Lytechinus pictus: one gene and its partners. The protein of the gene in region 1 purifies or fractionates together with the protein of each later gene. This does not show direct contact. Links are inferred from orthologs where the notes say so. Each region holds a gene or a part of one and is shown on either strand. Other genes may lie near its edges.

The links. The genes of interacting proteins can lie anywhere in the genome.
Region 2: the proteins of histone acetyltransferase KAT2B-like (region 1) and DNA polymerase epsilon subunit 3-like purify together in Drosophila melanogaster (affinity purification with mass spectrometry; 3 studies listed by BioGRID). This does not show direct contact. The link is inferred for Lytechinus pictus from reciprocal best matches to the Drosophila melanogaster genes Gcn5 and Chrac-14.
Region 3: the proteins of histone acetyltransferase KAT2B-like (region 1) and transcription initiation factor TFIID subunit 10-like purify together in Drosophila melanogaster (affinity purification with western blotting; 4 studies listed by BioGRID). This does not show direct contact. The link is inferred for Lytechinus pictus from reciprocal best matches to the Drosophila melanogaster genes Gcn5 and Taf10.

What each region holds. Positions count from the first base shown.
Region 1 is NC_087257.1:2,582,772-2,591,279, forward strand, and holds the start of histone acetyltransferase KAT2B-like, read left to right. Parts: upstream 1-5,263; 5' UTR 5,264-6,000; intron 6,001-6,694; 5' UTR 6,695-6,780; coding exon 6,781-6,840; intron 6,841-8,225; coding exon 8,226-8,315; intron 8,316-8,508.
Region 2 is NC_087259.1:11,820,738-11,829,204, forward strand, and holds the start of DNA polymerase epsilon subunit 3-like, read left to right. Parts: upstream 1-4,967; 5' UTR 4,968-5,044; intron 5,045-8,467. UniProt on the Drosophila melanogaster protein: Accessory component of the DNA polymerase epsilon complex. Participates in DNA repair and in chromosomal DNA replication. Histone-like protein which promotes nucleosome sliding of ATP-dependent nucleosome remodeling complexes.
Region 3 is NC_087258.1:11,652,836-11,660,653, forward strand, and holds the start of transcription initiation factor TFIID subunit 10-like, read left to right. Parts: upstream 1-4,318; 5' UTR 4,319-4,472; coding exon 4,473-4,506; intron 4,507-7,607; coding exon 7,608-7,759; intron 7,760-7,818. UniProt on the Drosophila melanogaster protein: TFIID is a multimeric protein complex that plays a central role in mediating promoter responses to various activators and repressors.

The DNA of each region.
Region 1 (8,508 bases):
TTAGAAATCAACTTGCGCAAAATGACAGCAGTGAATTTTGTACTTCACTGATGAATGGGATTCTAGAGCCTGAATAGAAATTTGCAAATTTTCAGCGCAAGAATGATGTTCCAAAAATACAAAAGCAACTATATGAAAAAAATAATTTCAAAGAATGTTGATATCAATTATTCTGATATCAAAGATCAATAGTATCTGTACTTTTCACTTAAAATCAGAATCAAGAGTTGATTGAATTAAAATAAGTATTTTCAAGAACCTTATTAAAATTTATTCAGAACTTTTTGACCTTTACTTGAGAACAATCTTTCTTTTAAAAATATAGAAATTAAATCTCTCATATAGGAATTAAATTTACAAGCAAGAATTATTCCAAAGAAAAATTCCTGATCTAACAATGCTTGTTAAAAAGTAATCTACTAAGAAAACCTGAATTTCAAACAGACAGAAAGACAATCCAGGATAACCTCCAAGAAAAATTTCCTACAAAGAACTAAGGGCCTGAAATTAAATTCCAAGTCCTCGTTCAAACCAGCTGTACACCGAGTCAAAAGGCAAAGCAAACTATTGCACTTGTTGGCTCCAGGTATACACGGTCAGGAAATTACAAACACCCGAGAGATTAAAGTTTTAACAAGATTTTCGGCTGCAAAGATTCCTAAAAATCCCAAGTAATAATGGAATTTGATATCAAATTAAGACAATAGGATTTTTCTAACCTGGACTAATTTTAGTATTTTAGGGTTAGAAATTAATTGAACTTCCAAGACTTTTAGTAATCAGGACAACAGTGCTTATTTACTAATCCACTAAGAAAATTAAAGATCCAAAAAGACTAACGTTAACTTTAACCTAATATTGTTAACGTTAAATCTGAAGGTAAGCTCAGAAGATTAATTAAATAAATTCTTTTAAGTTTCCAGTAAGACAGTCGAACTGACTGTATCTCAAAGATACAAAACTGCAAAGTGCTACTGCACAAACGGTCACAGGTAGTCTAGTATTAAACTCGATGTACGGTACCCGGTACACCAGACAAAGCTAAGCTTGGGAAGATAAATTTAACAAGATCTACTAACAGTATAACACGAAATATGGCAGTATAAAATCAATGAATTTAGCTCAGTTTGCGTAAATATTGAGTCAAGAGACAATTGGCAGGTAAATCCAGCAAATTGTCAGTAAAATCTGACGAAAAGGAAACTCGTTCAAAATTTGCCTTCACGGCGACGATAGCCGGTTCGTGCACGTTATCCCTGCCTGGAGTTACGGGCCAGACAGAGAGGTGCGTTGCGCTGGTGTTGGTTGAAAACCGCGCGACGTTAGACCTAAAATTAACTACAAAAAGAATGATCAAATTACAAAATCAATTTCTACGAGTTCCTACTTAGAACTAATCATTAGAATAAATCAACGGTCAATCACGATAATCGTATAAAATCAGAGTTTCCCAAATTCTAACTCTGATCGACTGTTCAGTGTTCTGTCAACGAGAGTCGCTAGCAGAATCAATGAAATAGAGTCACGTGATTCGGCTCGGCAGTGTTTCGCCGAGTGAGCTAGGCGATCGAGGGATCGAGGGAAGATTGTCAATTTTTTGTCAAAAACAATCTATTACTTCTTGACTTCCAAATAGTTTAATCTCTAAAGCAATGGAAATCACCATCAGCACATAGATTAATCAATAGTGTTGATTCAATTTTAGTTCGAATCAAAACGACATATAAACATGTAACATGAAGAACATAGAGAATAATATATCCAAGTTATCAAGAAATTAATAGCCTACCGGTTTCTCTGCAAAACTACACAATTTCAAAAAAATTATGGAGCCTACACCCAACCAGCCCAAACTACCAATTATTTGATAGGGAAGATAAAAATATTCAGACTTCTCTTTCACAGTCCCAACGGGTCTGACACTGGTATTGACAGAAGTATATTCACACAAATATTTCAGACGTCTATATTTTTTCCAGTCCCAACGGGTCTGACACTGGAATTATTATACAGAAGTCTATTCACACAAATAATTCAGACGTCTATTTTTTCCAGTCCCAACGGGTCTGACACTGGAATAGTTTATAGATGTCTATATATTCACACACAATTCTACCGAGTGGGTGAACAATTAGCAACAATGAGTAACAATAACTTTTAGATTGAATTTAAGACAATGACAATCACAGTTATTAAAGAGAAACAATCACAATATCAAATGTGATGAATGAAATGCTTTAAAGAAAATTCACAAGATGTGTATTGATTAAGAACAAAATTCAAGAGTATATTTTCAAGTTACAGCTAGGTAAGATCCGAAGCTCAGAAAACCCACCTATTTTCTAGTAACAGGTAAGATCTGAAATTCAGAAAAACCCACCTCTAACGTACCACCGACACAAGTGTAATTTCGAGCTGGGTAAAAATTTGAAGTAAATTCAGACTATTACTCAACTCGGCAACCAGGAGTATTAGAACTTCTATCACTCTTTCTGCCACTCAATGTGTACAGAACTGGCTGTAAAAAACACTTGCCAAATGTCGATAGAAAATATATACTGGAAATTTTATAGAAATGTATGAACAACTCTACGCCCTCAAAATATTGGTGCACTGCCCGATATGCAAGAGTATGAAATTCTAGGAAACTTATACCATCTGGAATAATTACTGAGGATCGAGAGAAAATTTCAAGTTCAAATTAACTTTTCCAATCCAATAAATCCACCAAATACTCACACCCGACTTTTTTTTGGAAGTGGTGTGGTGTGAATGTTCCGAATTTGAAAGAAAGCTTATAAAGACAATGGCGGACTAAAAATATCCTCGCCTAGTAGCAGATTTCAAAGAATTTACAAACAAAAGCAACGAGATGGTAAGCGACGCAAAAATATGCAAGGAACGAAATTCTTGATCGCGAGCCAAACAATAGAAGAGACTCGCGAAGAATGCGATGAGAAATGCAAGTGCAACTAAACAATGTAGGGCGTGTGCACCGTGTGCACAGAGAATACCACGTGCGTTGCAATGAAAATGCAACGTAGTGGATATGAAATAATTCCCTAGATATGGCAAATATATATCAAAATCCACTTGTAACAAACAAGAAATGATATCATGTACGAAAAAATGGTAGAACTAAAACAAGATGTGTGCGAGATGCATGCGAATCCACGCAATCACGGCACGCAAATTTCCAATTCTCGGTAGAGAGCGGAAAACTTCCCACTCACTCTCCGTTCGTTATACACTTCAAAATCACTCACAAATGACTTTCATGAGCAAATATGAAGTATGAACGGACATGAAATGATGAAAATGTAAATGACAGGCGCACAGAACGATCCGAAAACTCGCAATCGCCAATGTTGTAAAAATGAAAGTTGTGGGTTACAGATGATGTGATGGCACGAGATACGATACGTTACGATAAACGATGGCGAGTGGTTAAACTTACAAGTACAACACTGACAAGGGTTACGACTCACGAAACTCACGAATGGGTTAATTACCGACGGTACAAGACACGGACAACAACTAATACTCACCTGACACTTGTACTAAGGATTCCACACGGTAGATAACTAACTCAGGTAACATTGACTTCTATATAGCTAGGTTGCAGACCATGGCGCCGAGTGGGGAGCTACTGGGATGTCCTCACTCGATGGCGTCTCTGGGTCTTCTCTCTCTGGTGTCTGGATCCAATCTCTCCTCTCCCAACCAGGCACCAACTTGTGTACGTGCTGTGCAACGCACACACGTAGCAGGCGTAGGAGCATATAAAGGCTCCTCCAATCAGGAGCGCTCCTCGCATACACACAGCACATACACAGACTTAATGTACATGAACATAGATCAATACATAGACTTATACACATACTAATACATATAGGGTAAGTACAGGTACATGGCAAATTTACTACACCTGTACAAAACCAATGTACAGTTTTTGTTAAAAAATATCTCATTTACAAAAAAGAAATTGGAATCTACATCCAACTTGACAAGGAAATATATAAAATTAAGAAATTTCAAATTTCACACTTTGGACCGCAGTTACTGCTAATTCCCTTCAAATGATGATGAAAACTTAGTCACCCTCGATCCTTTTGACGGTCATCGTAAATTGCCATCTTGAATGATGTTTTTACCAGTCGAAGTCGCTGTATATCGTGATTCGTGCCGCTGCGTTTCTCGGAACTTGTTGCTCGCATATCGAAAATTCTAATCAGAAAGCCTTGATAAAACAAAAGCTTTAATCAACGAACGTAGAAGGCAGCAATATACATCTGCCAGTTTTCCTCTCCGGCAAAATATTTGATAAAATAAGGAATAAATCATCGGTCAGTCGGTCACATAGATTTTCGATCTTTTATTTCATAGTTCGTAGTACTTATAAAAAGAAAGATAAGAATCAAACGAAAATGTGGACCGTCGTTTAAGATAATATAAAGTCATATAGACCTAAAAAAAGAAAAAAATCTAGACAAAACACTATATGCCTGAATTGGGAGAAATGATTACACATACGGGCTCGCACTAACGTACTACTGTCGGTGAATGGGGATTGTAGTAAAATATCTGAAATTGTTAAATAAACCCCCAGAAACGATGGTTATTTCTAGACATTCATATGCCATTATTAATATAATGATTGTTGGCATTAACAAAAAGACAAGACAAGATATAGATCTCATGATCTAGTCGATAGATCTCTAGGCCTAGAGTCTCTTCTTAACGTTAGGCCAAGAAAAATATTAAAATAAAGCAGGCACAGGACAGAGCCAGAAATCAGACGAGGAGAGGAAGGATTTTCAAAAAGCTTGTTTATCAGCTAACATTAGACTAGTAGTATTACTATTAAATGCACCCTTAATTTGCAGTACAGGCACTGGTCAGAAATTTGGGATCATCACAGTTTACAGGTACTGTCTCAGTTTTCAAAAATTTCTCCACACAAGAAATCTTGGAAAGTCATTCGCTTGTCAAATGCCGACACCAATCAAGTGTGCTAGTCAATCTTAACATATCATTTTTCATAACAAGATTATTGGAAGATGGCAAGTCGTGCAAAATAGACGGTCAACTTGGGGGAATTGAGGTCACCAAATCTATTTTTAGCACTCTCAATCCCCTATTTGCTGTCTGCATGTATGTCCCGCAGGGGTAAGTGAAAAAAAATATCCCCATAAACAAGGACAATTGCTATTTACATGCATCAAGACATTTGTCTTGGTTTATGAGGATATCCTTGTTTTCTGGGACAATCTCAATTTTTGGACCAGCACCTCTACTGATTTGACATGCACCAGGATTTGACTGCCAATCTTGTTTTCACAAATCAGCACAGCGCACATTCCGTCACCATGGTCCACGGCACACAAATGGCCCCAACAACTTTTGTTACACACATGCACTATCTCCACAGCCAGTTTATAGCGTGCCAGGAAATTCTGATTTTAATTTTAAATTCAACTCCAAAATCCCCTCTGAAAGCCCAATTTTGTAGTAAAAAGGCAGAATCTGCATCTGCGCCATATTTCTAAAGCCTTGCGTAGCTCAGCCCAGACTTATGAAACGGGATCGCCAAAAACTGCGCAAGAAACAAAGAAATCTGTGGTTATGTTCCAAGTTTGCCAATTGTCTTGCAAATTAAAGAGTGTATCTTCAAAATGACCAAAAAAGAGAAAATACCAATTGTAACTTTCCCGTTGTATATCCTGTGCAGTGCTGCGTAATTTGGTGGCTCTCGCATGCATCTACTTTTGATCATTTTGTGATAGGCCACACCAGACTTGTGATTGTGCATGATAGAAGAAGGTAACCAGTAGGCCTATTTTGTTGTCTTTTGTTGTTTGCAGGCAGACGAAGCATGCAAGTGCAATGGTTGGAAGAATCCTAATCCACCTCCTACACCGACACAACCAGCTAGACTGGATATAACAACCCCATTGGCTAGTAGATCAGACCCATGCAAGAGCTGTGGCCATCAACTTGGTATGTATGCTCCCATCTGTACACTTGATTCATTAAGTTTTAACAATAATAGAGGAATAGGGCTTGAATTAAGATTCATAGGGGCAAGGCCATTATGACACTGAAAGGAAAGGAAAGGTAGTGGTCACTTTAGAGGCATCCAAGGTCATTAAAGAAAGGCATTAATAGTAAAATTTACTTTTCTGTGGGACACATGAACTGAATTGCTACAGGGCACCAAGACATTAGTACTTTATGTTCAGTGCTCCATTGTGTCCTTTAAATTGTTTTAAATGTTCCATAGCCCAAACATAAGTATACTGAATCTTCCATACTCCCAGGCCTTGCATTAACCAAAGGCAACAAGATGATTGCTTGGGTGCCACTCAAACTGCTTTTCTGCTATTAAAAGTCCCTTATCACAGACATTGGTTGGCTCTAACATGTTTTTTTTTTCAGGGCTTAGGGGATATACACATCTGTACATATCAATGCATGATAAAGAAAATAGCCATTTATGATATTGGTCAATCTTATGATAATGATGATAATAATAATAATATAAAGTCAAAAAGGGGCCTAAGCTTTCGATCCTAGCAGAATCTTCGTCGGAGGCAAAATGACCAATAATAATAATAATAATAATGATAATAATAATAATATATAGCATTTATGAGGCGCGGATAATAACAATGTGTGAACAAATTTCTTCCAGCTGAACATGTATCCCATCTAGAGGATGTCGCTGAGGAGGAGATTGACAGGCTCCTGGGCATCGTAGTCGATGTCGAACACCTGTTCATGTCTGTCCACAAGGAAGAAGATGCCGATACAAAGCAGGTCTACTTTCATTTGTTCAAGGTATAGTTCACTACATCCTTCTGTATTCAGAAATGTGTTAGTGTTGAATGAAAACTTAACCCTCAATCTCCCGGGGTATTTTGATTCTTGTCATTCCGGGGGGGGGGGGGGGGGGGGGGGGGCCATAATGGCCCCCCCTTAAGATCTCAGCCGTTGATTTTGCGATCACAATGAAAATTTGCATGATGGTAGAGAATGACGTAATCTACGCAGTTGCATTGGTAAATTTCACTGAATTCATATATTTTTATTTTATATGAATTAATTATGCTAATTTATTCATGAAATCATACTTTTTGCTCTGATTCACTAAATAAAGCTCCTAGAATGCTATTTTTTGGTGAAAATATTCTTTATAGCATTCCTAACAATTGTGAATGAAAAAAATTCTGTTACCAAGACCAATTTCTTATGTATTTTATTTTTTTTTATATTTCTTATGTATTTCTTTGTTTTTTTACTTTTTGTTGTTTTTTCGATGGAAATCACTCCAGACTTAATTCTGATCATAAACAAGGCAAAATTAATTAAGTTTAATCGTTAAAAGTAGAAATAATGATACATTTATGAAGTCTGGCCAAATACACAATTTGCATTGGATTTGTACATGCAATCACGTTTATGAGCAATTTTGGGTCTGACATGCACTTACATAATGTTGCGTAATGTCGTAACCGCGTACCCGGGCGTCACAAATTTGGTCTCAAAATTTGCGCGAGACTTGAAAGTAAAAAGTCAGTGAGCGGCGAGGTTAAACAATTTTGCGCAGCAGATATATCGCGAAAATTGTCGAGGGGGGGGCCATTATGGCCCCCCCCCCCCCGGGAGAATTAGGGTTAATGAGGAGGTGCGATCGGTCAGTCGGTAGAGCGGGGAGGTGGGGGGGGGGTTGCTTGGATCCTGGTCACTCGGGTTTGATTCCCACTTGGTGCGCTAGTGCCCTATGGTAAGGCATTTATCCTCATTACCAGGTCCCTCGGAGAGGACCTTAAGCTGTCAGTCCTCTGCTTACTTGCTTACAAGCATACATGCTTTCTTAGCAATCGGGTAAAAAAAAAATCAGCACCACTATCTGTTGAGCAACTACGGAACATGGAAGCTTGAAGGGTTTCAATTTTATCGCTTGACTTGATGTTATACTTGATGCAGAAGATTGGCAAGGGCGGGATTTCAGCTCTGGGCAGTTGAATTAAAATGTGAAAATGTCATCTCATTTTTCAAATATGTTATTGTTGTTTTAGCTTTAAAAAAGTGAATATTTGCGCAAAAACAAATCTACCCTTTCTTATGCTCTTTTCATGATGTTAAGCTTAATAAAGAATTTCATGTCTAAAAATGTGAAACATATTTGACTCATAATTTTTTTTGATGTATTCCTTGTACAGCTCCTGAGGAAATGTATCCTGCAGATGAACTCACCATCGGTAGAAGGTCCTTTAGGTCGACCTCCTTTTGAGAAACCAAGCATTGCAAAAGTAAGCTCCAGAGATTACTCATTTGATTTTATAGTATACTGCATGAATGTCTTATTGGTAGTAATAACTGAAGTTTTTAAATTTACTATCAATAGTTGCCTCTTGTCTTTTATATGTACCTTGTCCCCTTGCGCAACATTTTCTATCTGTACGCTAACTTGTAGGCCTCCTTCATGTAGGTTGATAACTTGAT
Region 2 (8,467 bases), on another chromosome or scaffold:
GATGGTACCTTCACTTCAACAGATGAAGAGAAAGCCGAAATCTTGAATGCTTTCTTTGAGACAACATTTACTGAAGAGGACACTTCTTCCATCCCACAGCTTGAACGCAGACAGTCAGCTGGATGCTTATCTGCTCTAGACATAACCCCAGAGGATGTACATCGCAAACTTGATCTGCTTTCCAAATTTAAGAGTGCTGGACCGGATGGTATCCATCCTTGCATTTTACGGGAAACGGCACCTTCAGTGTGTACACCATTGGCCATCATCTACACTAAGTCGTTCAAAGAAGGCAAGCTTCCTTCAGCATGGAAAGCAAGTCACGTTGTTCCAGTTTACAAGAAGGGAAACAAGTCTGAAGCCACTAATTATCGACCAATAAGTTTGACTTCAGTACCCTGTAAGATCATGGAGTCGCTGATCAGAGACAAGATCGTTGATCATCTGATGGAGAATGAACTAATCAGCGATTCCCAACATGGATTTGTCCCAGGTAGATCAACTGTTACACAGCTGCTCCAGACACTAGAGGACTGGACATCCTTACTGGATAAAGGTGAAAAGGTTGATGTTGTCTACCTAGATTTTAGAAAGGCCTTTGACAGTGTACCCCATCAACGTCTTGTGGCAAAACTAGATGCATACAACATTCAAGGGAGCTTCAAAACTTGGATTGCTGATTTTCTCAGTGGCCGAACCCAGAGGGTAGTTGTAAACAATGCCAGATCTCAGTGGTGCACGGTAAAGAGCGGGGTGCCCCAGGGTAGCGTGCTCGGCCCGACATTGTTTGTGTTGTACATCAATGATCTTTCTGATGTTATGGAATCCACTCTAAGGATCTATGCAGACGACACTAAGGCCTTCTCTTCTGTCTCCTCTCCAAATCAATGTGAAGTTTTTCAAGCAAGTTTGCACTCACTGATGGACTGGTCCTCAAAGTGGCAACTTCAATTCAACACTGACAAGTGCAGTGTTTTGCATCTTGGATCAGGTGACCAAAGAGAGCACTACAACATCGGGAGTACAGCACTGAATGCAGTTAGAGAAGAAAAGGATTTAGGGATCATCATTGACGACGATCTAAAATTCCACAAGCAAGTGTCAAATGCTGTCAATAAGGCAAACGGGGTACTAATCAGCATCAGACGTACTTTCCAGTGTCTTGATTCGACCACTATCCCCAAACTATTTAAAGGGTTAGTGCGGCCACTCCTGGAATATGGAAATGTCATCTGGTCACCACAGTACATTGCTGATGCTAAGGCTGTCGAGAGAGTTCAGAAGAGAGCAACCAAAGTAATCTCCAGGATCAAACATCTTCCATACAAGGAAAGGCTTAAACACCTGAACTTACCATCCTTGGAGTACAGAAGAAAGAGAGGTGACATGATTCAAGTGTATAAGATCACTCATGAAGTCGACAGGCTTAACCCAGACCACTTTTTTCAGCTAGCTGACAGTACTACAAGAGGTCATAGGTTCAAACTTGTAAAGCCAAGATGCAGAACAAATGTGAGAAAGCAAGCTTTTAGTCACCGAGTAGTCAATGATTGGAACTCTCTCCCAGCTGAGGTAGTTGAAGCTCCCACAGTAGACACCTTCAAAATCAGGCTAGACCGACACTGGAAAGATAAGCATTATGATTCCCACTACTCTTAACTGGATATGAGAAGTCAATTTTCACCAACTTGCCCCACTGCCTCCTTAAACTTATTGAAACTTATTGAAGCATGAAGGAAGCTGACAAAATTAGAAGATAGACCTGGAAGCTCGACTGCTAATTCAGCATTCTTCCAGTATTTGCGGTAAGGTAAGGTAAGGTAAGTCACTGGTTTTTTTTTCCTTTTAAGTTTATTTTTCCCTGTTTTGGTGCATTTCAGGCCAAAACGGAATAATAATCTTTATTTTGGTCCAGTTCTTTTTATATATTTTCATGAAATAAAGACAGAAATCGATGAGCCCCATCGGGGGGACTTTGCACTGTTAGCTCCCTAATGGCAGCTGCACGATCGCGAGCCATCACAGTGTACATACAAAGAGAAATAAAAAATTTAAAAAAATGTTTAGGCCTAGGCGGTAGGCCTACTTTAAATTAAAAAAAACTCGAAACAGACGGCTGCCAGCTATCTTGTCTAGGCAGAAGGCACGGCACAGAATGCCAGAAATATTCCCTGCATTATTTTCAGCCATCATTACATCACGTTAGTCACACTCAAACACTGACAAATGAAACAAATCAAGACAAGACACACTTGTGACAGGCAGTGGAACTGCAGTGCAGTGGAAGTGCTAGTGCCAGTGGTTGCACTTGCAATGAACTAACCCAGAGAGCTCCCGCCCGCGCAGCGGGCGGGAGCCCAGAAGCTTACCGTGTATTTTACCATTGTCACCGGACTAGGGTTATTTATGGTCTAAATATTTCTCCAAATGAATTGTGAAAACGGAAAGTATATATGGATGAAGGTCTAACGAGTGGCAGATTCCTGACATCTGGGCACAGTCTGGAACCTCAAAAAAACGAAAAGTTCTCTCCTTCTACCCAGTCTCGATCGGCCATTTTGTTACAATTTTTAACAAAAATGGCCGATCGAGACGGGGTAGAAGGAGAGAACTTTTCGTTTTTTTGAGGTTCCAGACTGTGCCCAGATGTCAGGAATCTGCCACTCGTTAGACCTTCATCCATATAATCGTGGTAATTCTATACTTTCTGTTTTCACAATTCATTTGGAGAAATATTTAGACCATAAATCACCCTAGTCCGGTGACAATGGTAAAATACACGGTAAGCTTCTGGGCTCCCGCCCGCGCAGCGGGCGGGAGCTCTCTGGGTTAGCAATGAACATGCAGTGCCAGAGTCGCCGATCGACCAGGGCCCGGGTCGCCGGCCGTGCGTACGGTTGCCTGGCTTCGCTTCAGCTAAATAGTAAATGATCGGGGATCAGTCGACTCGAGTCGATCGACTCCGAGTACGATAGCTAATCAGTACAGACTGTGAATGAAATCAAATGACTAATTTTCTATGTCATGAATTTAATGAAATGTGGTAAATACCCACCTTTCACTCAAATGAGAAACATTCTGCAGAATTAAATGCTTGTTTTCATAAAATAAAGTTTCCAACTCGATCTACGTCTGTCGTCTTCGGCCTCCGACTAACTGGTATTGGTAACGTAGATGGCGTATTCCTCTGTACAAGATGTGGCGCAGATATTGTTTAGAACTTAACTATGCAATGAATTGATTGATTGATTGGTTTATTTTATTTGGCAAGTCACCAGAACATAAAACAACAGGCTTGCACAGGATGACCCACGAAAGCTCGAAAGCTTAATTATTTCCAAAAGAAAAATCTAAAAGAGGACTAGTATGGCTAACATGACTCCGATGCATATTAAACAATAAAAATCAAAAAGGAGCAAAAAATGGAATACAAAACTTTTGACTTCAAAATGTATTTGTAGATCGTACGTGGCTGCATGTATGCATGCAGGCGCGGATCCATTATATCCCCCAAAAAACAAAAAATAATAATGATAATACAATGAAATAATATAATTATATGGGCAAGAGAAAGGGAAAGAGGTTAAAAAGAGAAGGAAAATGAAAAAGAATGAATAAAGAAAAAGTGTGAGATTAAAGAAGGTATTAAGGGAAAATGCTAATAAAGAAAAGGACAACAGTTTCATTAAAGAAAGAAAAATAATTAATCGAAAGCGAAATGGAAAAGGGAAGAAAAGAAAAAGAAGGGAGATGGAGGATGGAAAAAAAAAAATGAAAGGAATGAATTTCAAGAGAGGGTGGAGAAAAGACAAGAAGCCTATAGGAAAAGGAAGAGGGTGAAGAAAAGGGGAAAGGCGGTCAAAGGAGAAGCAAATTAAAAGAATGGAAACGGTATTTACATGGTTGAAAGGGGAAAAAAGGTAAAAAGGGGAATAAAATTTGAGAGAGCCCCTACCCCCTTGATGATTTCCATCAAATATATGGAAGATAAAAAGAAGGGAAAAAAGAAAATGAAGTAAAATTAAGCTCCACCGAGGGGTGCGAAAATTGCCCTATATGGCTCCCGAGATGCCCCTGCATGCCTGCCATCTTCTCACGGACAATGACAAAAGGAACAAGGAAAATAAGTGCATGGAAGGGAAATTAAAGGAAACTTTAAAAAAAAATGTTAAAGGTCAAGTCCACCCCAGAAAAATGTTGATGTGAATAAATAGAGAAAAACCAAACTAGCATAACGCTGAAAATTTCATCAAAATCGGATGAAAAATAAAAAATTATTTATGACATTTTTAAAGTTTTGCTTATTTTTCACAAAACAGTGATATATGCACAACTAGGTGAGTCAGTCGTTGATGTCCATCACTCACTTTTGTTTTTTATTGTTTGAATTAGGCCTATACAATATTTCATTATTTATCTATATGACAATAAGGACCAAAGGGGGACCAATTTGACTGAACCATGTCATTAAACAATGCTAATTCTACATGTTCAGGGAGGAATCAATCGTTGTATCACTTGACAATGAGGAGAAAATTAGAATATATATAATAAAATACAAAAGAAATAGTGAGTGGATGACGTCATAGTCTCCTCATTTGCATACCAGCCAGGATGTGCATATAACTATTTCGTGAAATTAAGCGAAACTTTAAAATGTCATAACTTTCTTATTTTACACCCGATTTTGATGAAATTTTCAGTGTTATGCTTGTTGGATTTTTCTCTTTTATTCAAATCAACTTTTTTGTTAGGGTGGACTTGTCCTTTTTTAATTGTGCCAAGTGTGGATATTAATTAGACCAACTGGTTATGAGACGAAATGGTTATTAGACGAAGTGATGATTGGACCAAATGGTTATTAATGGACCAAATAGTTTTTAGACGAAATGTTGATTGACGGAATGACATTTGGTGAGTGGACGAGTTGGCAGCGAGTATGCGAATTGGCAATTTACCATGCATTGAGATCACGCACGCACCATCATGACGTCATCTTCGCGGGAATCTCTGAAAATAGGTCACTGGCAAATTTTTAAGATCGGTAAGAAAGACCTGTGAACTTGAAGATTTGTGATTTTATACATTGATTTCGATTCTTTGATAGTTGATCCATTGAGAAATGATTCATTCTATATATGTGTGAATGATAAACTCTTTGATTTGAGCTTAAACTAAATTTTTATTGCTTACTAGTGCGTTGTTTGGAAGATGAAAAGAATTTACTGACAGTGATTGCTGTGAATGGGACTGTAGTGTAGATGTTCGAGTAGCTTATTACAAAAATACACACTCGTCTAACGTTAGCTCTGTACTGTAGACTGTAACAAGTGTAACCGTAAGTTGTATGATGGGGGGACCTAAACTAAAGCTACGGCTACGCGCGCACTTTGTTTTCAAACGATAAAAACTATGCCAATTTTAATATTTTAACCATTTGTCTTTCACTAATTTGTAATTAATATTCTCTTAACCAAGAAGAAAATATCACAGAACTCACTAAATTAGTATTTAGACTTTAGTAATGAGCATGATCGGTTAAGCCTTAGTTAAAGGAGAATGAAACTCTTGGAGCAAGTTAGCTTTTGTGAAAGCAGAAAAATCAAAGAATAAGATCAACAAAACTTTGAGTAAAATAGGACTAGCAATAAAAGAGTTATGAGCATTTGAATGTCGAGATCACTAATGCTATGGAGATCCTCTCATTGGCAATGCGACCAAGATCTGTGATGTCACACACGTAGAACTCTCCCATTTGGACACTGAAAATATACCCCAAAACATCTCTTTTTGCTCATTCTAATCATATGACAAACGATTCATCAATGATATAATGTTGTGAAACCTCTGTACTTGTCATCTCATAAAGAGAACACCTCACCTTGTGATAGACTCTATAAAAGTGAGAATATAAGTGAAATAAGTACTAAAGTATTGAGGGAGTTGTACGTGTGTGATATCACAGATCTTGGTCGCATTGCCGATGGGAGGATCTACATGGCACTAGTGATCTCAATATTCAAATGCTCATAACTTTCTTATTATTCATTCAATCTTCCTCAAACTTTCAACAATATGTTTCTTTGATTTTTCTCTTTGATATGGATTCAGATGGTTTCAAGGGTTTCATTCTCCTTTAAGGGTTTTTTTTTTTTTTCTATCAAAATTGCTTTTAAGATATTCTTTGATATCTCAGGTTTCAAAGAACTCGGTTTCATGAAGATTGATGAATCCGAAAGTACTGGAATAGTCCATTTTATTCGTGGGGGTGCTATTACCTCTCATCACGGACGGACATTTTTACTCAAATCAAATTCTCTCTAGTTTTATGGTTTTTAAAGTTATTCTAATTTGGTTTGGATGTTCTTGCACTCTAAACATTAATCTATAGTATTATCAAACAAAAATTAGTAGAAAAAAAATATTGGGAAGTAATTTTTTTTGGTAGGTGTGAACATTTCCATTATTGGTCAAAGTTAAGCTATTTAGATAGAAACAATAAAAATGTTCAAAAATTCTGAAAACCACATTTCTATCATGTCCGTCCGTGATATGGCACATTTAGTGGCTACCTATGTTTGTAGGTAACCATGGCAACAAACTTTTTTCATCATTCAGCATACTTTGTCCTAAGTAACCCTTCACTATAAAACAAAAAGGAACCATGTTCATCTTATTCCCAATTTGTTACAAGCCTTCAAAGTTTTCAAAATCTATCAAATGTCCGTCCGTGATGAACCGATCACGCTCTAATACGAAAAACCCGCCGTGTTTTCCGAACACCTCTTGTCTTGATTTCGTCGCCGATGTAGAAGGGGTCCTAAAGTAAGCTACGCACTCGATTTATCATGCAAAGAAATAGTATTTCCTGTGCCTTAATTTCTAAAATATGTTCGTATTATTATAGGGAAATATGAAATTAAAGTGAACATAAATAAAAAATTCCAAACATTTGCTGGTTTTCTCTGCATTCAAGAATTTATTGCAGCCTCTGTAAAAAAATTGAATAGGATCGTTCGTCACTCTGCAGTCACAGCTTCACACACAGAGCTCGAGTGCGCATTTATTTTCCCATTGAAATTGCATGCGCGATGGAGTGGTGCGTAGCTTTAGGACCCGCGCAGCTTTAGGAACCCCTACCATAACTCGGTACGTGCACTAGCTAACCCAGGGCCAGGACTCGTCCGTGTAATAGTAATACTAGTCAAACATTAGACGGCTGGCAGCCGTCTGTTTCGAGGAGTTTTTTAACATTATTATTATTTTTTGAATTTCTCGTACACAGACGGCTCGCTATCGTGCATGTGCAGCCAATAGGGGGTTAACAATGCAAAATTCCCATGTCGGGGCACATATTTGTCTTATTTCATAAAGATATATATAAAAAGAAAAACTAGATTTTAATTCGTCATGCGGACGAATTAGGTGGTCTGTCGTATAGAAAGATAAACAGGAAAAAAAATATTTAAACAGATATTAGATTGAAAAATAGATAGACAAACAGATTTACATATTCAAACAGATACATATAAGAAAGATAATAATATATATAGATGGATGGAGTGATGGATGGAGAGATAAATGATAGGTGGTTATATTAATAAAACATAGACATATAGATAGATAGAGAGACAGACATATAGATAGACAGACATATAGATAGAGAGACAGACATATAGATAGATAGAGAGACAGGCATATAGATAGATAGATAGAGAGACGATAGGTGGTTATACTAATAAAACATAGATAGACATATAGATAGAAAGAGAGACAGACAGACAGATAGATAGATAGATAGAGACAGACATATATATAGATAGAGAGACAGACATATAGAGAGATATAGAGACAGACATAGATAGATAGAGAGACGGACATATATATAGATAGAGAGACAGACATATAGATAGACAGAGAGACAGAAATATAGATAGATAGAGAGACAGACAGATAGATAGATAGACATATAGATAGATACAGAGACAGACATATAGATTGATAGAGAGACAGACATATAGATAGAGAGACAGACATATAGATAAATAGAGACAGACATATAGATATATAGAGAGACAGACATATAGATAAATAGAGACAGACATATAGATATATAGAGAGACAGACAGACAGATAGATAGATAGATAGATAGAGACAGGCAGATAGATGGATAGATAGATAGACATATATCTAAACAGATAGATACATATATATTAGACAGAGAGGGAGAGAAAGAGATCAATAGATAGATAGATAGACATATAGATATACAATGTAGGTAGATAGACAGTCAGACATATGGATAGATAGAGAGAGAGGGACATATTCAAACTGATAGATATATATTAGACAGAGAGATAGATAGATATGTCATGTAGGTAGATAGATAGACAGACAGATAGATAGATAGATAGATTTATAACATAGACATCGGATAGATAGACGAATATGATTAGATAGATATAA
Region 3 (7,818 bases), on another chromosome or scaffold:
ATGAGGGAACTGATGACATCACTCACTCACTATTTATTTTGTATTATATTATATGCAATATGAAACATTTTGATTTTCTCGTCATTGTCATGTGAAATAAAGTTTCATTCCTCCCTGAACACGTGGAATTCCACTATTTTAACATTTTGTGGTTCAGGCAAGGAGGTTCTAATTGTCAAATTCGTAAAAATTGAAATATTGTATAATTCAAATAATGAAAAACAAAAGAAATAGTGAGTAAGTGACATCATCGACTCTCTCATTTGGATATAACTGACTCGTTCATATAACTATTTTGTGAAAAATAAGCGTAACTTTGAAATGTCATAACTTTCTTATTTTACATCCGACTTTTAATTGATGAAATTTTCAGCCTAGCATTGTGCTTGTCTGATTTTTCTCGAATGATTCAAATCAACAATTTTCTGAGGTGGACTTGACCTTTAAAAGGGAAGTTCACCCCGACAAAAGGATAGAAGAATTATTAAAAAAATAGGTTAAAGGAAAATCCGTCAAAGATCTAAAAAAAAGTTATCAGAATTAGATTTTTTTTTATTTGTGACGTCATATACGAGCAGCTTCCCATGCATCGTGAAAAAAAATTCTAGAAATGTCATTTTCTTAAAAAAATGAAAATGGATTTTATTACACCTTCAGCATATCAGCAGACAAATCATTTCATACTTACTCCTGAAAAAAGAGAATTTTTGTCATGAACCATTAAAAAAATGAAATTTATGCATTTCATATTACATAGCATATGGGGCAGCGGCAGCTGCACGTAATGTAAACGCGGATCACAAATTAAAAACTTAAAGTTATAATATTTTTCAAACTTTGATGGATTTTCCTCAAACCTTTACCGATATTTTTTTTTCTATTTTTACAACAAACTTAAAGTGACCAATTTCGCTTAATTTGTCCAAAATTGTGTTTTGGCAAAAAGGGAACAGTTATAATTTCTGTGCCCGTACCCCGGCCATTCTGAAATCTGGCCTGGATCCGCGCATTGGTGGCGGAAGCATAAAAATAGCAAATGAGACGCAGGGGCCGATCCAGCTTTAGCCATCGGGGGGGGGGGGGGTGGAAAAATACCTTCATCCACATTTTCCCCGATCGGCCGCTAAAAAAATTAAAAGCTAAATATTTTGTTTCGTTTTGAGAGGGGTATTCCTATGACTGAAATTTTAAGTGCCTCTTAGCTTTATTTTCACAAACAAGATAAGATACTCAAAAGGCCTAAATGAATAATTTTTGGAAATTTCATGTATGAACAAGATGTGTAGGCCTATATACACAAATGCAAACACAAGCCATGGCCCTGGGAAGCGGGGGTGCAGGGGATGCTTCGATCAGCACCACCCAAAATTTTCTTGGGCCCGTGCTGCATGTATTATTTTCCATAGGCAGCACCCGGAGAGGTATTCTGGGAGATGTGTAAAAATGACCTTCATTTTGTAGTGAAACCTTGCAGTGAAAACTCCTTTTTCTTTTCAAATTTACATCAGTACTCTTAGTAAAAAAATCGTTCCAAGGGCCCCGGCGCAATTCCAACCGGAAAAGGGAATACAAATTTTTGTAAAAAAAACGCAAAACGGCGCGAGCTGACTTTTTTATACTCTATTTTTAAAATAGTACTATAGGCACATTTTTTAAAAAACAAGTTGCGTTTCTTAATAATTAAAACGTACGAGCCCGGATCGCGAGCTAATTCCTGTTTTTTTTAAATTTATATATTGACTCGAAAGGAAATCTTTTAAGCACTTTTAACATTCAGGAAAAGAAGAGAATATGGGTTTCATTAAAATTATGATGCCGGCAAGAAGCGCGTGCTGATTTATTTATTTATTTTTTTTTTTTTTTTAGGGGGGGGGGGCGATTTCGACCTATGAATTTGACATTTGAGCAAATGTTATAGGCCTGATCATGAACAGGATTCGTATCTAACTATAAGCAACTCATGCGAATGTAAAGCGCGAGCCTGAAATATTTGATAGAGGCCGGCCTACACTGACTTGAAAAGTGTGCATTTCTGAAGGAGTGAAATAAACACATTTAGGCTTGATATAGAAAAAAATGATGTTTCTATTATAATCCCCCTCATAGTATAAAATCACTTTCAATTTCTCGAGAATGAATTGGGAATAATATCACACGAAAAAGGCTCTATAATCAAATCATGCTAATGGTGGAGCTGCTGTACAATCAGCGGCGTAACAGGGGTCGGTGGCCGGGGGGGGGGGGGGGGGGCAAGAGCCAAAAAATTTCCCGGTCATATCATGGTATGAACAGGTGTAATGAGGCGACTATTTTGAGAAGGCCAGACATTGCGTATCAGGCAGAATTTATCTTGTAAAAAAAGTTGCGAGCGAGCGAAGCGAGCGAGCAAAAATTTTGACCTTTTTAATACAAAAATCCAATTTTGGGATAGATTTTAACATGATATCCAGAGAATAATATATTTCACTCTTCTCTCTTTAGATTCCTTTTTTGTGGTCTGTACGCCACTGTGAACAGGATTCTTTGCGGCAGTAGCGTGAAGAGTAAAAAAAAAAAAACGAAGGGCGCAGTATAGCACATGTGCTAAAAAGCTGCTTTATATAAGTCCCGAGCGAGCGAAGCGAGCGAGAAAAAATCACCTTTTCCTGAGAATCTAACTTTGAGTTATTTTTTATTCAGTAAATAAAATCATATCCTACACTTTTCCTTTGCTTTTCTTTCCTCCTTTTTTGTTGTTCTTGTTTGTAGAACTTTTTGAAGCCATGGCCCAACCCTTCCATACGCTGTGCTGTGCGGTTGGGGTCCGGGGCGGAGCCCCCGGAACTTCTTGATATCAAAGCCATTTAAACCTCGCAGATTGCCGCTATTTTAATCAAATCGCGGGCATATACAGAATGTAGCTTTATTTTACACAACACATTTATTCAACCCAGTTGCGTAATGAACCAAATATTTTGAGGGAGCAAAACATTGCAATGTGGGAAAAATTTGTAAAAAGTCGCCAGCGTGCAAAGCGAGCTGGAAAAAAAAAATGCCCATTGTAATTAAATTCTAATTATGTGATTGATTTTTCCATTATATTCAGCAAATAACACCTTTTATTGTTTCCATTCATTTCATACGTTGTCTCCTATAATTTATTTTATTTCCTTTTGGGTGTGGAACCAAGACCCCCCCCCCCCGCCTGTCTGCCAGTGATTGAACGGGGGGCGTTATAGATGAATGTTATAAATGAAGAGCCCCCCGGTAGCTTATTTGCATAACATTTAGCAAGCTTAAAGCACAATGTTGTATGCAGTCCATTAGCTTTTGACTAATTACATTCTACCTTCGTTTCCCGCAATTGTTTGCCATTTTTTCATCTTTAATTTATTTCCCACCCTGCTATTGCATTACATAGGCCTATTTCGGAATGATTTGCTCTTTCTCATATGTTTTTCTTTCGTATATTTTTCCGCTTTCCTTCCTTTTCCATTTAAAAAAAAGTTTTTTTCTTCGTTTTCTTTTCACTTTTCCCTTTCCTTTTCCTCCTTTCCTTTTCCCCTTTCCTTCCCCTAATTTCCCTTTCTTTCTCCCACTTTTTTTGTCTTTTTCCCGTTTTTCTTTTATTTTCCCGGTGAAATCCGCCAGGGGGGGCAACTTGCCCCCCCCCCTGCCCCCCCGCCTGTTACGCCACTGTGTACAATGTGACGTTACCGGCAATATCAAAATTTACAAAATTCATGCTCCGTTATTCTTTAATTGTCGTATTTTCATCAAACTTTCAGCAAAAAATTTCTCTATATTTTTTTTTTGGCATTCATTAAAAACAACTTATCGTCAAAGTGTATATACTCCCCCTTTAATTCAAAACAATTTGAGACGTGAAGAATTTTTTATATTAAAAAAAAATGTTTTTATTCCTTTATTTATAGCTGTGCTGATCAGCCAGCATGTATGCAGCAATTAAGTGCAGTATGCGGAAACGCACTGAACTAATGGTGACGTCCACTGAGATGTGATTGTAGAAAAAAAATGATCAAGTAGAAAAAAATGATGAAGGTACGGTATCATATTCTAAATTTATCATGAGAATCAGATATTAATTTTGTTGTCACGCAACCAAGAGTAAAGACAGATTATCAAAGTAGGGTTTCCTTTGCTTCAGCCCCCCCCCCCCCCCCAATTTTCCAGAACCGTGTACAAAAACGTAAAAATCATACCATAGGATTGTGATTTTTTGCATGGGCAGCCCCCCCCCCCCCCCCCCACTTTGAAAACCGTTCCGCAGCCCCTGTAAAATCATGTTTTTTTAAGTCGAACCAATCCCAAGTGATGCAGGGCAACCAAATTCGTATCTTTGGTTTCGGTCGGCCGGTCGTCGGCGGTCGATATAGCCGGCCTAGCCTAGCCTGGAACGCGCGGCACGCGCCGTCTCTTTTTACTGGGTGATCACTGACGGGCAAAATTGCGAAAGGAACTCTGCCATCAAAATGTCAAATTCTAATTTAAAGAATGTGAAAGAGGGTAAGAAAACTGTTAAGTTTTATTTTAATCTAGCAACGATGCCACGATGTGCATACTGGCTACTAGTAGAGGGGTTAATCTTTGTATTTTTGTGTTATTCTACACTATCTTTTTTAATTACATTCACCTCAGTCCGACATGTCCATATTCATGTCGGACGAGACACACTGGCCTCTGTTCTGAGCCATAGCCAGTGGCTTCCAATTTTTCAAAACGTAACCTCTTGGAATTTACTCTGAAAGTTCCTGGAATTTTACAAAATATCTCGGAATTTAAAAAAATGATCTCTAGTCTTTCATAATATGTTATAGATCTAGTAGTTCTCTTCTACACACAAAAAAGATGAAATTCTATTTACTTTGGTCTTTGCTGTATTTTTATTTTAAATTTAAATTTTAATGAGCCAAAAATTTTGAGGGGGAGAAATATTACTAAAATAGACGTATGGCAAGTTCCCCCAAGTCTGCGTAGTCCCCCTTGTCTGCGCACACGCGTATCTGCGCGATTCTAGTAAAAGAAGATACGCAATGAGCACGAACTTTACACATGCAATACTAGGCCTAGCAATACATAGACAGGTATTCTTTAAAAAGTCCGACTCAAAATGGTGGAAAAATAATGAATTTAGGGCATTTCATATGATGGCCTCAAAATGCAGCCTTTCTCATCAAAATCCCAGAATCGTGTGCAAAGTGAATGAGTGCGCAGACAGGGGGTACCGTTTTTTTTTTCAATCTGAAAATGACTGCCCGAGGTTTTTTCAAGAAAATCCTATATTTTCTTTCATTTTTTTTAATGAGAAATTTGGTACACTTGCTCTTAATAATATAAGGAACATTATTAACTGAAAAGTTTTGTGAAATAAGAAGAAATTCATGTTAAATCTTAACTCAAATTGTTAGGTGCACAGACTTGGGACCCACCATCATAGCACTCCTAGTACCAATGAGGTCCAACATTACATGTATGGACCTCATAGGCGACATCAGTAGTATTTTTGGTTAGAAATCTCTGAGAACAGGATATTTAGGCAATTATATCACAAGTACAAGCTCTATTCCTTTCTCTTATTTAAATTATAATTTTATAGTGTAAATGCATCGTTAGCAACAACAAAAAATGAAAGAAATGAAGGGGAACTTACATTTTCACGGCTTTTTCCTGATTTTCTGGGCAGCTGCTCTTCTCTTCTGACTCGCGATCGAAGCTGATATGAAGATCACGTGATTCGCGTTCTCGTCAGCTGATCGGTTGGTTATTCTTTTCGTCAGACGTTAATAATATATATTTTATAATGCTAGCATTCATCGCTAATTTAGGTGAAAGAGATTGAAGTTAAACAGCGCCAGGTCGGAATCATAATTATTTTGGAAGAGTGTATTTATACACTCGATCTCATACCTGACGTAGACGGCGCTATTCAACAAATGCACAATCTTCAATATAAAAAATAAAACAGAAAGAACGCCTTGAACACAGGCCAAAATGCCTAACGATTTATCCGCGGCATTAACAACTATCGTAAAGGGCGCTCCATTTATCAATAAAGATGGACGCTAAGCTGTCTATGGCGACAAAATTTGCCGCAAATATTTACGAAGAATTGTGAGAAATGGTCTGAAAATGCAACAAAAGAACCGGTGAGTACCGATTAAACATTATTAAAGTTATAAATAGATTATACATACCTTGTAGATTTAGTTTTTAAGGTGATATTAGTGCTTAGTTCTAAGCTAGGGAGGCCCAAACGCGCGTGAGTGGAGTCCCAGTTTATTAGCACGGGTAAGTATTGGGGTGTCGCCTAGAGTGCATCATAGTTCTATAGACCTATCGGGCAAAAGAATTTCGAGCGAGAGATCCAATTTTGAGATAAATTTTTACATAATATTCAGAAAATATTTCTGGAATTGAAATGATAACTTCCCGGAATTTCTCACTTCCCGAAATGATCTTGGAAAATAGCAAAACTTCCCGGAATTTCCTGGATTTTGGGAAGAGTGGAAGCACTGCACTGCTCTGAGCACAACGAATCTCGCGCTCGCAATAACGTGAGTGGGCAGAGCTGAGCTGCAGTATTATCAAACAATTTCAGCATATCTGTATCTGTATTGTTGAGTCAGCAAAATAAGTCATCAAACTGCCACCATAAATAAACGAATAGGTCTAGATCTACCTACTAACATTTTTGCCCGAGATCAGTTAGAATCTAGACCTACCTGTACTTCTTGATCTAACGTGTTAGATCTACACTTTAGTTTAGTGTACTCTACACTCACAGTTCTAACTTTTTTGTTAGACCTTTTTTTTATAATGGGGTGACCATAATTTGTGCACATTTTAAAAATTATGAAGAAGATTTAAAAAACAAAATTCTCACAGTTCACACAAAATCAATCAAAATCATGAATAGATCTTACAAACAAAAGGCAAGATCCCAAAATCAAAATTGCTTGACGGAATTATGAAGTAGGTCAAGGGTTTTGCTGGTATCGCAATCTCAAAATTCCATGGCAATTGACTCATGCATGCTCGGCTGAATAAGTGTCATAAAAAGTGTAACCTTAATTTGCGCACAATCGTTTTTGCAAAGCTTTAGTAATTAAATCCAACAGACAAAGGTAAGATAATTGTATCAGATGGAGGTTAAAATGCCTAAATTTGGTTGGTATCACATTTTACTTACGTATCTGGAGACCTCTGCTTGCAAATTGGCGATTTGTCGTTGCTTGTCGAGAAGTTGGATTTTCTCAGAACAAATTTGCTGATATTTTTTCAATATTTTCACAAATTGATACGGTCTTACCTTCAAGAAAATTACCACACTGAGATTTTCAACCATGTGCAAAATTAGGTGATGCGTGAATTAAGTTCACACTACCATACAAAAACTTATCAATCAGCTGAAAAAGGCTTGTTTCACAAAAGGCTTCCAAACTAGTTAGGCTCTACTTGATGACCGACGTGCATAACCTACATAAAAAAGCGCTAGAACTTCAACTACGATCTGTATTTAGGGATGTAATGTCACAATAAAAGTAAGTTAATTCGATGTGTAAGTTGGCGCAATTAATTTTGATTGCATTAATTCTTGTGTATTTCAGAAGCGATGGACAGTACATCGTCAGAGGGTGGAGTGAATCGTGCCACACCCAACGGCTCAGAAGCAGAGATTGAGGCAGCAGCACTGCCTGTTAAACTGGCTGGAGACGCCTTAGAAGAACTACTAGAGCATATGGAGGACTATGCACCTACTGTAAGTGTTCACAAGCTCCCCTCTTTAAACTTAAAGGACAAGTTCACCCCAACAAAAAG